Rhinolophus ferrumequinum: one gene and its partner. The main gene of each other region encodes a partner of the protein of the gene in region 2 in a complex. Links are inferred from orthologs where the notes say so. Each region holds a gene or a part of one and is shown on either strand. Other genes may lie near its edges.

Region 1 (7,872 bases), on a different chromosome or scaffold from region 2:
CACTATTATTCAGATTTCAAGAGCTGGAGGCAGTGTAGCCTGCGTTAGACCACAGTGAGGAGAGGCAGTGTAGTGCAGCAGTATGAATACAGACTCTGGGATCAGACAGACCAAGTTCCTGCTTCTGCCATTTAATTAGCTGTGTGATCTTCAGCAAGTCACCAGCTCCTGTGAGCCTTGGTTTTCTCATCTGGAGAACAGAAGAACGAAAGTATGTGCCTCGTAATTATGAGGATTAAAGGAAATAATAAATGCATCTAAAGCACTTAGCCTGGCATATAGTAAGTGCTTAATAAATATTAGCTATTACAGTGGAATATTGTGATATGAAATGCCCTAAAATCTGGCCTATTCCTCACCAACCCCATGTTCCTGAAGTTTACATATCTTACCTCCAAAAGAGCTAATGATAAAGTGACTAATTAAGTCTCAGATCCAATCTGTAAGGGTGAAATTTAGGGAATCAATAATGTAGTTAAACTTAGCTAGTTTGCAGTTTAACTTACCGCATAGCTCACTATCCAGCCACCTGTAATTACACTTACTTTGTTTGCAGTTTGATCCATCCTGATATTCAGCTGTTTTCTCCTTGTTTCTCCCCTCACTGATTAGCTGAAGAACTCTGATTGTTCCCTTTCTCAAGGCTACCCATACCTCCTTAATCCATTTAATCAACAGAATCCCAACCTGGAAAGGGCAATTTCTTAATCCTCAGGTGCCCGGACACCGGAATCCAATTGACAACTCCCTCGCAGTTTTTACTGGTGACGCATTCAAGTCCCAGGCCTCGATGGCCGCGTCCCAGTCCGGAGATAACATTGTCTTCAAACAGACCAGACCCCAGGAAGGATGTCAGCCCTCGAACCTGCCTAACCGACTTCCCCTTTCCTATATAAGAAAAAGCTAACCTGAAGTTAGGAGCAGCTGCCCACTCTCAGATTCTAGACTCTGCCCCATGACACACACCCCACCTCCACCGCCACCACGCTGGTGTTTCTCTTCTGACAACCTGTGGCAGCAATCATTTTTGGACACTGCCATGGGCATTCTCTCTGTGCCCTAACTTCAATAAAAACTTCCTTTGTAGTAGAGTCTGTGAATGCTTTCACGTTTTGTGAATGCCCAGGGGTTAATTACACGCCACGACACAATCAACATTTTCCGGAGGCATTTTTCAGTTTAAAGAAGGAAAGCTAGATAGATAGATGATTGATAGATAGATATGAGTATAGAAAAATATATATATTTCCTAGCTCTTCCCATCGCAAAGTCCTAGAAGCAAAAACACCTCAGTAAGCAGCAAGCACACTAAGCATTCAGAACTTCTCCTTAAATAGCTGTCACCACTTAAAAGAGAAATCAGGACTCCTTGGAGTAAAATAAGAATTCATGAATCCACATAAGAATAAATAATTTCGTAATGTGATATACAGTAAGTTCTTTCTTAAAGTAGAATGCCAACTAATAAATGTGGAAAGAATAATGGAGTTTTTTTTTAAAAAATCACCATACTGTAACCACCATAGTATAACTGAATCAAGCCAGAATTATCTGTGAAGACTAAAACTCAGACAACATTTGACAAGGGATAGGATATTTATATAATCTCGAAGTTTCTCCCCTACAAATTATGTATTACTTTCCAAGGGAAATACAGAAACTTTACAGTGATAGAACCTGGTCACCACAACTTTAACCAGAGGATCAAAGTAAACATCCCCAATAAGGGGCAAAGTGACATAGTGTGTCTCCTGATGTGATACACTTCTTAGTGGGACATAATACACTTCTGTGGATTCCTGCCCCCAATGCAAAACTTGAATCTGATTGAGGAAACATCAAATAAAGTCAAATTGAGAGACAGTATACAACTGACCTGTACTCTTAAAAATGCCAAGGTCATGAAAGACAAGAGGAGGAGCCATTCCAGATTAAAGGAGCCTAAATAGGCATGCAATACATGATCCTTGATTGGATCTGGACCAGGAAAAAAAAAGAAAATTCCATAATGGACAGTGTTAGGAAAATTGGATAAACTGAACATGAATTGTAGACCACATAATAGAATTAAATCAAAGTCAAATTTCCTGGTTTTGGTAATTGAAATATGAGTAAGAAAATGTCCTTCATTTAAGGAAATACACAGTATAACAGGGATGAAAAATGGCTCACAAAAGTGTCTAAGTCCTAATACCTGGAACTTGTAATGTATGTTACCCTATATGGAAGGACTTCGCAGATGTGATTCAATTAAGAATTTTGATTTAGGGAGATTATCTGAATTATCCAGGCAGGCCCAATGTAATGACAAGGGTCTTTATAAGAGGGACACAGTAAGATCAGACAGAGAAGGAGATGTGATGACAGAACAGAGGGAGAAAAGGTGATGTGATTCGGAGCCATGAGCCAAGGAATGTAGGTAGCCTCTAGAAGCTGGAAAAGGCGAGGAAATGGATTCTCCTCTAGAGCTTCTAGAAGGAACGAGCCCTGCCAATACTTGGTTTTAGCGCTGTAAGACTCATTTTAGATTTCTGACTTCAAAAACTTTAAAAGAATAAACGTGTACTTGAAGTCACTAAGTTTGGGGTATAGGGATTCAGAATGAGTCACCCCAAGATGTGCCTCTATGGCACGCAGATTGTTTTGAGCTGAAGGCAACCTGTGGGCTCAAGAGAAACTTCTGCCCTTCCCACTTAACTACCTAGAACTTGAATTAGGGGCCTTGCCCATAATAAGAGATTATCAGAGATAACATTTTTTGACCAATCGGTAGGGCAGGGAAAACTTCTAATTACTGAAAATCTCTTCATCTGTCTCATCTCTAATTGATTATTAGACCAGCTGAAAAAACCCTGAGCGTAGAGGAAAGTTTCCTCCTCTCCCACAGGGATAGTGGTGAAGTTGGAGACAGGGGTATATGTTGTCTCTTTCTGCTAATCTGTGGTCCACCTGAACCAATGCACTTGGATAAACTACCTTCTACATCCCCTGGGGGCTTGCATCACCTGGGGGCTTGCTGAAATGCAGATTTTCAAGGTCCATACCAGGCCTAATGATTCAGTCTACAGTTTAACAAAATCCCCAGGTGATTCGAAGTCACAAGTCTACTTTGCCTTTATCATTGTAGAACTGCCCTTCCCAGAGAGTCGAATTATCAATTTTGCATTCCCAGGAAGCCTCTCTACTTCCAGTCCTTGGGTGGCTGTCACCCTTTCTGGAGGAAGCATCTGCTCCAAATTGCACATTTTCAACAATGGTCTCAATGAAATATGTTGATCTGACAGTTACTAAGACTTGATGCAAAGACAGCAGAGCCACAATAACAGTGCCACAATGTAAGGCCTGGAGAGGGAGGGGGCAAAGGGGACTTTTACAGCCCACTCCCGACCAACTCCGGGCACACTCACCAAGCGGGAGGGGGCTATATTTTGGAGTCTCCCAGAGCTCTTCAGAGGGTCTGAAGGGTCCCCTTGCCCATGGCCTTGCACACAGTAGGCAGAGCAATAAGCATGGAGAGTATCTTTGTTCACACTCTATTCCCAGTGCTAGGCACACAGTGTGTGCTCAGTAAATACTTCTTCATCTGCCAGGGCTCTGATGCTTGTGAGCCCACCCAGACAAGCTGTCATGCAGGGTGTCAGGCGGAGTCTCTGGTCCTGCTCCCCACATAAGAACACAGGAAATGGTGAGGCCAAAAAGGAACACCCACAGAGCCATAGATAGGGGAGTCATACCATTATATTCTCGCTGGTGGCTGGGTTGGAGACACAGGAAACAGGATCCACACGACCTGCAACCTGCTGTCCGCTTCTCTGTCAACCAACCAACCCCACTTGCTAGCTGCACTCCACCGTGCTAACTGCAATCCACTCTGACTAGCTCAGCCACCATCCTCTTGCTAGCCTCCATTTGCTGCTAGCGTAGCCACAGCAGTTATATTAGTGGCCAATGGCTCACTGGTTACAGCTGACGGCCAACTAGCCACAGCTGATGGCCATCCAATCGCAGTTGATGGCCATTTGCTAGCTGAGCCAGCACCTTTCCACGTGACGCGGAGAGCCTGGAAACTGCACTCCTGGCTCTGTCCCCACACAAGCTCATGGTCCCTTCAGTCAGTGCCCACTCTGGCACTTCCAGCGTTCAGTGAGGCATCTCCCGTCCAGTACTGCCTGCCCGGCACGTGAATTAAAACAGAACACTCCCGGGATATACTAGCAGAGTATTGGGCACAAGACCAGGCCAGGGAAAACTGCAATGGCTCTGACCTGGCAGAGGTTGGATGGCTTCCCGGAGGTGAGGGCACCTGAGCTGGTTCTAAAAGCCACCAAGCAGAAGTTACCAGCAAGTGCAAAGGTGTGAAGTCGTGAAAATACCGGGCCACAGAACTTGCAGTGATTGTCTCCGCTGGCCCCGGGGGGTTGTGGAGGGGTCTCCCCCCATTCACAGACAGAGCCCTTTGCGTCTCCTCTCCGCGACCCCGCCGCCCGCTTATCTCTCCCAGGGAGCGCGCGCCCACCTGTCCCGCTCCACTCCTGTTTTCAAGGCCCCTCCTTATAGCCTCATAGTTGCAAGTCTCTACTCACCTATCCTGGCACCCACTCGTATCCGCCGCGCGTTCTCGCCCTCGCTCCCGCGCTCCTCAGCTCACCCGCGCTCGAGCCCCCTCCTCTCTGCTGCGCGTCCCCCACGTCCCGACCCTCCACTCTCAGGTCACCAGCCCGTGCTCGCGTTTGTCTTTGCCGAGCGCCTCATTCCCACCCCAGGCAAGCGCGCTCGCTGCCTAGCGACGGGACACGACTCGCCGGTTGAGGGTAGGCGCGTGCGCCAGGCGTGCGTGTGACAGCGCAGGCGCCCTTTGGGAGACCGGGTCTTAGGGGTTGGCTGGGGTCTGGCTGCGCAGGCGGTTTGGGCCGTGGGACCTTGGCGTGGTGTAGGGCGCAGGCGGTGCCCAGGCTCCCCGAGCCCAGCGAGGGTTAGTTCAGCGCCGGGGGCTCCGCAGGCGCGTCTGGGGCGGTCTCCCTCCTCCTCCGCGGTGGGCGGCGTGCAGGGCGGCGAGCAGGGCGGCGAGCAGGGCGGCGTGCAGGGCGGCGAGCAGGGCGGCGAGCAGGGCGGCGTGCAGGGCGGCGTGCAGGGCGGCGAGCAGGGAGGCGTGGAGGGCGGCGTGGAGGGCGGCGAGCAGGGCGGCGTGGAGGGCGGCGTGCAGGGCGGCGTGCAGGGCGGCGTGCAGGGCGGCGTGCAGGGCGGCGTGGAGGGCGGCGTGCAGGGCGGCGAGCAGGGCGGCGTGGAGGGCGGCGTGCAGGGCGGCGAGCAGGGCGGCGTGGAGGGCGGCGTGCAGGGCGGCGTGCAGGGCGGCGAGCAGGGCGGCGTGCAGGGCGGCGTGCAGGGCGGCGAGCAGGGCGGCGTGCAGGGCGGCGTGCAGGGCGGCGAGCAGGGCGGCGTGCAGGGCGGCGTGCAGGGCGGCGAGCAGGGCGGCGTGCAGGGCGGCGTGCAGGGCGGCGTGCACCCGTCGGCCGACCGCGGGTGGGAAAGGGAACCCAAGCGCCCGCCCCGAATGGAGGATTGCCACATAAAATACGGGACGCCCAGTTAAATTTGCATTTCAGAGAAATAAGGCATAAGTTTGTAGTATAAGTATAGTATAATACAAAGTCGTTAGTTGTTTATCTGAAATTCAAATTTAACTGGGCATACTGTATTTTTATTTGCTGAATTTGGCCGCCTTGTCTGGATCGCCACCACTTCCCTACTACGCTGGCTGGCTTTCTCCCAGGCATGGGTGAGGGACCTCTCTCTGTTTCTTGTAACAACTTATCCATGCTTGAGGCAGTTGTTTCTGTGGGAAGGGGGGCTTTCTTAAATGAAAAAAAAAAAAAAAACATTGCTTACAACACCTTCGTGAGATGGGTATTATCACCATTTCATGGACAGGAAACATGCCAACCGAGGTAATGAGCCCTCTACTGGGTCCCCCTGATAATACCATGCAGGGTCCATAGATCTGAGACGAACCCTGGGTGAGGCCCTACCGTCAGGCCAGAGGTTTTCCTCTTAGGGACCACGGTCCTCTTCCCATGCATTATCTTTCTGGAGGAGCAACAGGAGCAATAAGATAGCCTTTTTTATCTTACATTGACAGATATCAATGTAGGTATTTTTGTCGTTAGAGTATATCCCATTGAAGAAATACAGTGAAGATATTGTGTTCCAACCACAGTTGTAATAATTCTTTTCTCTGTGTGGTTAAGACAACAACTCCAGCTTGTTAGGGAATCAGGTTTGTTTTTTCCAGTTTTTAGAGTTTTGGTTTTTATGATTCCATTTATCTATACACACATACGAGGTTGGGCAATTAAATTCTCGAACTTGTTGCAATGATGTTGCTAAACTAACCTTTTTTGATATCGGAGGGATTATTCATTATGAATTTGTACCAACTGGACAAACGGTTAACCAAGTTTACAATTTGGAAGTGCTGAAAAGGCTGCATGAAAAAGACGAAAACGACCTGAACTTTTCTCCAACAATACTTGCATCACGACAATGTACCACCTCACACGGAACTGTCTGTGAGGGAGCTTTCAGCCAGTAAACAAATAACTGTATTGGAACACCCTCCCTACTCACCTGATCTGGCCCCCAGTGACTTCTTTCTTTACCCAAAGATAAAGGAAATATTGAAAGGAAGACATTTTGATGACATTCACGACATCAAGGGTAATAGGACAACAGCTCTGATGGCCATTCCAGAAAAACAGTTCCAAAATTGCTTTGAAGGGTGATCTAGGCTCTAGTGTCAGTGCATAGCTTTCCAAGGGGAGTACTTCGAAGGTGACCGTAGTGATATTCAGCAATGAGAGCACTTTTTCTAGGATGAGTTTGTGAACTTAATTGTCCGACTTCGTACATACATATTCCTTTCCCCACTGCTGTTGCTAGTACAAAGGATGGCATACTATATACAGTTTTTGCACCTTGCTTTTTTCCCCCTTCATACTATGTCCTAGAGATCACTCTTTACTTTTAGAGATCTTCCTCATTCTCTTTTATATCTTCACAGTTATCCATTGTGTTGCTGTACCTCATCAATCCCTTCATGATGAACATTTGGGTGGTATTTCAGTATGGCTACTTCAGATTTTTGCAAGAAGGGATCCTAGAAGTGAGACTGATGGGTCAAAATTGATGTCATTTTCTAGGTATTGTGTAATTCCTCTCCATAGAGATTATACCATTTTGTACTCTTCACCACCATAGCATGAGAGAGAGCAGTATTGGGGTCTACAGGTGAATCTCATGAGGTCATTTTTTAAAAATTGAAGCATAGTTGGGATACGATATTATAATTTCAGGTGTATGATGTAGTGACTCAACATTTATATACCTTATAATGTGATCACCACACTAAGTCTAGTACTCATTTGTCACCGTACAAAGTTATCACAGTATTATTGACTATGTTTCCTTTCACCTTTTTCACCCATCCCCCCACTCCCCTCCCTTCTGGCAACCATCAGTTTGATCTCTTTATGAGTCTGTTTTCGTTTTGTTTTGTTTGTAGATTCCACATATAAATAAAACCATATGGTTTTTGTCTTTCTATCTGACTTTTTTCAACTTATCATAATACCCTCTAGTCATTGTGTTTAAAATTTTCAGCAGAATGTTAGGTGCGTTTGTCCAGGGAGAGGTCTAGATTCACACTGACATTCTACCCCCTATAATTGCTCATACCTGACATGCTAGGTACTCACTGTGCATATACTGTACTCAGTATATATATCCAGAGGAGTCTAGATTCCGTAAGGGTGATTTGAGGATGATCAGTTTTTCCAAAGCATCTGAGATACAGTGGTTGATTCATTTCATTCTTTA
Region 2 (8,152 bases):
GGATGAAGAGTTTCACAAAGAGAAGCAATAACAGAAAGGAACAATTAGCTTGTAACAAAGTAAAGACTGCCACCTACTGAAAGGATATATCATTTTTCAGAAGGTTTTCCCTAGATGGGACAAGAAAGCCTCAAGTTCAATGGACTCCCAACTAAAATAAAGTCTACTTTAAAAGCATACTATACAAAGGACAAATATTATATGTTTCCACTTACATGAGATATCTGGAATACTCAAAATCATAGTGATAGAAAGAATACTGGTTACCAGGGGCTGGGAAGAGGGATAAACAGAGAGATAGTGTTTAATGGGTACAGAGTTTCAATCTGAGATGATGTAAAAGTTCTAGAAATGGATGGTGGTGATGGTTTCACAACTATGGGAATGTACTTAGTTCCACTGAACTCTACAACTAAAAATGGTTCAAATGGTTAAGCTGCATGTATTTTGCCACAATTAAAACCAAAAAAAAGCACACAATACAGCAAGGGCTTCTTGGTCTGAAATTCATTGCTCACTAGGTAAAATGCAAAATATTAGCATTTATATTAATTTTTCATTTATGATTAACACTACCACTTAATTAAGTTTGTTTGTCACTAATTCTTTTTAAAATATGGACTTTTAAAAAACATAAATAGTATATCTTTATCTTATTCATATACTTCATTTAATTTTTTTCTAAAATTAAGGAATAATACACTTATAGGGTTAAAAAGTTCAAAGCAATATAAAAAGATATGTGCTGAAAAATCTCATTCCCCTCCCTGTCCTAATGTACTGTTCTTGCTCTCAATAGGCAACCATTTTTTAATGCTTATTTATCCTAGTGTTTCATTTTGCAAATATTAGCAAACATGAATATATATTACTTTTTTTCTTTCTATCACAAAAGATTGCTACACATTACATTTGTTTTTCCATAACAGGGCACCAAAAGGTTCCTTATTCTTTTTACAGTTAGTTGCATAGTATTCAACTTGGTGTCTTTGCCAGAGTTGATTTAACCATTCTGCTAATACTGGACTGTTTTCAATCTTTTGCTGGTAAATAAACAATGCTGCAAAAAGTAACCTGTATATATGTCACTTGATATTAATACACAGATTATGGGTGGAATTCCCAGAAGTAGGACTGCTGGGTCTAAGGGTAAATAAATACATCTGTAATATTGATAAATAATTGTCAGGTTCCCTTCTATGGGGGTTGTGCCATTCACTTTTACATTTTTGCCATATACTGTAGTAGCTCAGTGTCACTTTAATTTGTTTTTTCCCCCACTTATTGAGAATCTTTTCATATTTTCAAGAAGCATCTGTTTTCTTTTTCTCTGATCCTCCGTATGTTCTGCCCATTTTCAACTGAATTTTTATCTTTTTCGAGTTCTTTATATATTAGGGAGATTAGCCCTCTGTCTGCAATATGAATTGCAAATCTTTTTTCTAAGTTTGTCATTTGTATTTTGACTTTGCTTATAGTTTTTATTTGGCCATGCAGAACTTTTTTAAATTTATAATCTTATTAATCTTTTCTTTCATATTTCCTAGACTAAGTCATAATAAAAAATGGCTGTCCATTCCAAGAGTAAAGAAACTCATCCATCTTTTCTTCTAGAATTTGTATGGTTTAATTTTTTAATATTTAAAATTCCAATCCATTTGAAGTTTATCCCGGTGTATACAGTATCATACTTGAATACAACTTTTTTTTTAATGGCTACCTAGTTTTCCTAACAACATTCATTAAAAAGTTCATTTTTACCTGGGTCTTTTAATTACTATATTAAATATTTTCTTATAATTTCCTGTACATCTTTCCTTACATTTTCTTGTACCATCCTTACCCTCAGCCTCCACCTATCCTAAATTCAACTAAAATCCCATCTTTCCTAAAGATTGAAGTTTTCTCTTTTTTATTTTTTAAAACACTGATTAAATAAGTAATATTACATAAGAGACTAAAAACTGAAATTTCAAATAAGGATGGTACAAAAAAGGAAGATTAAATATACTCAATTCTATTTGATAATCTTTATTCTTTTTACATTCATTTTCAAACCTCTAACAACTGCAGAGCAAGTGTAAGGCTTAAAACATTAAATGTTTGTAATAAAGGAAAAAAATCCAAAAGTCTTAAAGTCCATCCATAGAGGACCAAATAAACAAATTGTGATTCATCCACACAGGGGTATATGAAACAAAACTTAGGAAGAATGAGTTACATTCAGATGTAATAATCTGAAATTGCTATCTGAGGGACTTTGTAAACAGGATCAAAGGTGGGGCACTGTCCTATTTTATGGGGGAAAATGTCTGGGAATACATAGAAAAATCCTGGAAGAACAGAAAGTATTAAGTCGTTGCCTCTCTCTGGAGACTGGGATGTGGCGTGGGTGAGGACAGGTGGAGGGAAAAGGAATTTTACTTTGCATTTTATATACTTTTGAAGTGTGACAAAACTTAAATACTATCACATGTAACTTTTATAGTTAGAATAAACCTAAATTTAATGCTAAATTAATGCTAATACATAAACATTAAAAAAAAGGATCAATGAGAGAAAAGAACACAATGATCATGCCCAGAAGTTACCTGAACAATGGTGAATCCAGATCTGAGAATAATATCTTGTATCTCCTCCTCTTTGTCAACAATATCTGGTTTGATAATGGCCAGAGATTTTTCTACGTATATCTGAGGTGGGGGCATCGACAGCTCCATTGTGGGTTTTCAGGATATAATTTAAGAGTCTTGACAGGTATCAACTGCAATGATATGCAATCCCAACCTCAAATTTAATGTAATTATGATTAAGAACAGCATTGTTAGGCGCCTGATTTTATTAATTTATATAAACTTAGAAACTGCAATCTTTTTCTATAAGCAGTGTCTGAACACAGGCATACCTCGAAGACATTGCAGGTTGTCTTCGATCGCAGTAAAGCGAGTCGTTCTCTATTTGATGGTGGAGAGTCTTGCCTTCAGTTTGTAAAACACCCAATACCTGTGAATCGCCTAAAGCGCAATAAAATGAGGTATGACTGTAATACGATTTCTACTCTGCAGTTAAGCCGTGCCTTAGGCTTTCCTAAACATTTTCATCAAGGTGGAGAGGCCACAGGGCAATCCAAAGGCCTGGGACTCGCGCAGACTAAGGCAGCAGCTGGAGACCGGTTGGCAACTCTCCGCGATTCTCCAGCTGCAGGTTGAGCAGCCTCGCCCCACCCCGCCCCGCCTCGCCGGGACGGCTATGCATAGGGTCAGGTCTGGTTGGAAAGTAGCATCCCTAAGTCCCCGGACTTCTCCCGGCTGCACCCGCAGATTCCGAGTCCGACCTTCCGTCGTGTACTCACCTCAGCACTCACTCCTCAGGTGCGACCACAACTTATTGCTAGGAGACCCGAAGCCCAGCTGAGGGACGGTGGCTGCAGAGGGCCAATCCGAGCAGCGTCACTTCACAGCCTCTTACCGGTTCAATCATGAAAGGGAGCCAGCCACAGGTAGTTTTATCCCCCTTAAGAATCTTAGAGCACTAGGCGTTTTCTTACATTTTCCTCATAATTCATCCTATTTCACCCTCCTACTCATTTTAAGGCTGCTTCAATTATCTCCATTTTATAAACGATGAGACAAATCATAATCACCCCCTCCTCACCCCACCCCATCACTTTCCAGACAATGTAAGAAAACCCACGTCAAATAGCTTCATTTCACCAGATGATGCTATCCCCTCTATTCCCAGCTTCTGTAATCATTAAAAAGCAGTCTTCAACTTGTGGTATAACATTTATTTATAGAGCAGTAATAAGCGGTTTAAACTAGTTACCTCTAAATTAAGCCTATGGAACAAGATACGGGCAACATTTATGGTATAACCCCAAATCACAGCTTGCCCCTTTTCCCTTATATTTTGTCCACAGGTACCTTTGGTTGTGAGTTAAGGCCTTATTATTAGAAAAGACAACAGGGAAATGATAGACAAGTGCTGGGACCTTCTCTGGGTCAGAGTCTCAATGAGAGGTCCAAATTTCAGAAAGGGTCAGGGTAGCAGCTCCAGGTTAACCAAACAGGTTTTCCATCACGCACTGGGTTGGCTGATTCTCATTCTGGACTATTTAAGTCTCTTCTTTTGACTAACCAAGTACTCAGCACCTATAGGGTCAAGGCAGAAGCAAACTATGAGGCTTAAAAGCTACAGAGGTTTGAATGCAATTTTATTTTTCTGCAATGAGATCTGACTACGTTTTTTCCTTAAAAATATGATGCTACCCAGAAAAGAAACCTTCAGATGTTTTCTGATTACTGTGTCTTATCCCCGTATCGATGGGACAGTGTGAACATACATTAATATCAACAGGTGTAGCAACCAAAAAATGGACAGTGACTCCAGCCTCTGGTTTGCATGTTTAGCACTCTGGCTTGAGGCTCTGGAAGCAGGAGCTCCCATTACCATTACAGCCCTCTTCAGAGCTCTTCAGCTGCCTGCCTTCCTAGACTACTTTGCTTCACTATTAAGGCTGGTCCTACTGAGGCTCCAGGTTTTCCAAACCAGTACGTACAAGGTCAGTCCTTCAGGGCCTTGAATCACCTCTAAATATAAAATCTGGAAACACTTCAACATCACCCTTATTCTCACTTTCTAAATCAGGTTCCAGAGATTACACTCCTTTTTCAGGCAACTCTCTACATACAGTACCTGAATCTGCTCCAAGACTTCTCGCTGCATCTCCACAGCCATATGGTACACATGATGATCAGAGTCATTGTACATCACAGCATTTTGGAACATCAGCATCAGGTCCCGCTGGAACTGTGCCATGGTGCGAATCCGTCCCTTAGACAGATTCCTTTTCAGGGTCGTTAAGTCCATGGGTCTACAGGTGGCCAAGAGAAACCAGAGGAAATCAAACCTTCATGTAGAACATGTGGTAACCTAATATGCTGTCTTGGAGAACTAGCTCTTAATGAAAACAATCCCCAACAGTTAATATAAAAAGCAACAGCTTTTTTAAAAAAATATCATTGGACTGCTACTACTTACAATAGGCCAAGCACTATGTTAGGTAACTTTCTATATTAACTCCCATAAACCTCCCAATTAACCCATAAAACAGGTACCATTATTATCACCAATTGGCAGTGAGGGAACCGAGATCTAAAGAGGGTAAGTACTTGCTCAAGGTCACACAGCTTGGATTCCAATTCAAAGGCAGCCTGACTCCAAAATCCACAGGCCCAGCCATTGCATTCTACTACTGCAGGAGTAGTGGTGACCCCAGGTACTAAATTTGTAAAGAACTCCAACGATCAGTTTGTCATATGGTAGTTAACAACTGTTTACAATGTATAGCCATATACTAGGCATTAACATACTTCTCTTATTGCATAATCAAAAGCTAATAAGTTTTTTCTCCTTTCATGGAGATGAAGAGTGAGAATCAAGCAAATATTAAGACAATTTTTTTTTTTAAGATTTTATTGGGGAAGGGGAACAGGACTTTATTGGGGAACAGTGTGTACTTCCAGGACTTTTTTCCAAATCCAGTTGTTGTCCTTTCAATCTTAGTTGTGGAGGGTGCCGTTCAGCTTCAAGTTGTTGTCCTTTCAGACTTAGTTGTGGAGGGCGCAGCTCAGCCCCAGGTCCAGTTGCCGTTTCTAGTTGCAGGGGGCACAGCCCACCATCCCTTGGGGGAGTCGAACCGGCAACTTTGTGGTTGAGAGGAAGAGCTCCAACCAACTGAGCCATCTGGGAGCTCAGCAGCAGCTCACAGCTCAAGGTGCTGTGTTCAATTTTAGTTGCAGGGGGCGCTGACCACCATTCCTTGCGGAAGTTGAGGAATCAAACTGCCAACCTTGTGGTTGAGAGGATGCGCTCCAACTGAGCCATCCGGGAGGCAGCTCAGCTCAAGGTGCCATGTTCAATCTTAGTTGCAGGGGGCGCTGCCCACCATCCCTTGCGGGAATCGAGGAATTGAACTGGCAACCTTGTGGTTGAGAGCCCACTGGCCCATGTGGGAATCGAACCGGCAGCCTTCGGCGTTAGGAGCATGGAGCTCTAACCGCCTGAGCCACCGGGCCAGCCCTTAGTTTTTTCCTAAGTAGCAGGCAATTTCTTTTATTTTTTTTCAAGGAGGGCACAACTCACAGTGACCCATGCAGGGATCGAACCAGCAACCTCGGTGCAACCAGCACCACGCTCTAACTAACTGAGCTACCTAGCCACTCCAAGACAAATTATTAATGAGACCCAGACAGTGGGTATATAAGGGAAGGCACAGCAGTGTAGAAAGAGAACTGAATGGGGAGGTAAGAATCTGGGGGTCAGTTCCAGCTCTGCTAGGCACTGTTATCACAGACAAGTCATCATCACCTCTGAGCTTTAGTTTCCTCGTCTATAGAACAAGTCTGTCTCCAAACGTCTTTTCCTGACCTTTTATACAGTAACACACTGGTTTGTGACAGTATTTTAGATGAAATATGCTATAAAAATAAAAAATACTGCAATCAACCAATGTTGGTCACATCATTTGGATTATCATCTTTGCCTTAGCATATGAGTACCTATAACGACCAGAATGAATACAGCGTTCCTTTTAAAGTTTTGCTCCAAAAAACAGTGTCAAAAACTACCAAAGGCTAAGATTATAATGGATCACATTACTTAAAAATCAACACTGGGAAAAAAAGAGCCTGCATTATCCTTGTGTTCCCTGCATTCCTTCTCAAAAGCAGACTGAACACACCATAACTTTGCAAACTTGTTCAGCTGTAAAATACATCTTGAGTTTGTAAGTAATGTAAATGAAATAAGAAATAATCTAATATATGGGAAATAAAGTACAAAAAGACAGATATAAAAGCAAGAAGCCTTTCTTGACCCCTTTTCCACTGACCTTTTCACCACATCCTTGTATCCTGGGGCCTGCCTTTCTGACACAGGCTTCAGAAATGGACCACTGAACCTGTTAGGGGACAAACCCAGAATGTAAGAAGAAACCCTGGAAAGTCACTCTGAATAAGAAGAGTGGCTGTGAACACGAAGAATGGCTTGGAGACCTACCTGTGACTGGCAATCATCTTCCAGACTGACAGGACAGTCTTCTTAAATAGCAAGTGATCCTGAACAGGATCGCTCTGGCTTAAATCAGACCTATGGGATAACACGACAGAAAAGAAACAGTAACTTCGCAAAGGGCATTCTGCCTCCCCCAGGTGGACATGAGGCTTTCTCAAGACACACTGCTCCTAATTAACATCTGAAGGAAATGTAATACCGTAAGAATATGAAGATATTTAATGCTTCCATAAGGGACCCCAAACTCTATAAGTGTTCTCTTACTGATCACTATAACCCAATGAAGTGGTTACCTTTTATAAAATGTATTACAAATCTACAATTGCCTGGGCCTTTTGATCTCTTGCTGATTTTGCTCTTCAGCACCTGTGACTCTAAAGAACTGGTCTATGAAAGTAGTCTTTGTTCACTGATGTTTCCCAACTGCCTGGCACATAGTAGAAGCTCAATTAAGTTTTTGATAAATGAATCTGGTCCTGTTTTATGCAGAAATATGCCACATTAATAAGTATCTCTCTCACCCATATTTCCAGAGAAGGAAATATTTGATTACAGATTCCAAGGAATTCTCTTACGTTTCATCTGAATGCCACACAATTAAATATTTTTCCTTTTCGTTCTCCTCTGTATAGTAATCTTTAAAACACCTAAGTCATTTATCTTCATGGCACTTCCTTCTCTGGGCTAAACTGTCGAATTTAGTTCGTTTTTCTTCAGACATGCAATTGTTCAATATTTTATTTCATTTTGTAATTTTCCCAGTTGGCAAGTTTTCTATTTACTTCAAAGTTAAACATGAGGTTACACTTCCCACTTTATCCACTGTACTATTTTTTCTAAATGAGTTCTCTTCACACCTAAGGTTTCACATCCTCATTTTGCTTTATGTACCATATTGTGCATATCGATCTGAGCATAACTCACATATCATTTTATCTTTCTGCAATTTGAGCAGCTCCACATAACTATTCATTTTCACCATGCAATATCTCACCTGCATCTAAATTATATACCACAAAGATCAACTTTTCCTTCAACACAGAACCCTATCAGAACAAGAAACTTAAAGCGCCCCCCA

Evidence for each region. Proteins that work in one complex are often made in the same cells at the same time.
Region 1: NME5 (region 2) and DYDC1 share a complex: the UniProt entries of both Homo sapiens proteins name them as parts of the axonemal radial spoke complex. The link is inferred for Rhinolophus ferrumequinum from reciprocal best matches to the Homo sapiens genes NME5 and DYDC1.

The regions. Positions count from the first base shown.
Region 1 is NC_046299.1:56,289,313-56,297,184, reverse strand, and holds the start of DYDC1 (DPY30 domain-containing protein 1), read left to right. Parts: upstream 1-4,589; 5' UTR 4,590-4,972; intron 4,973-7,872. UniProt on the Homo sapiens protein: Functions as part of axonemal radial spoke complexes that play an important part in the motility of sperm and cilia. Plays a crucial role during acrosome biogenesis.
Region 2 is NC_046307.1:13,294,940-13,303,091, forward strand, and holds the start of NME5 (nucleoside diphosphate kinase homolog 5), read right to left. Parts: upstream 3,410-8,152; 5' UTR 3,353-3,409; intron 3,346-3,352; exon of another isoform or gene 2,906-3,345; intron 2,765-2,905; 5' UTR 2,721-2,764; coding exon 2,592-2,720; intron 225-2,591; coding exon 216-224; intron 1-215. Other genes in the region: bromodomain-containing protein 8-like, read right to left, coding at 4,101-4,151, 4,696-4,873, 6,893-6,961, 7,060-7,149. UniProt on the Homo sapiens protein: Functions as part of axonemal radial spoke complexes that play an important part in the motility of sperm and cilia. Does not seem to have nucleoside diphosphate kinase (NDPK) activity.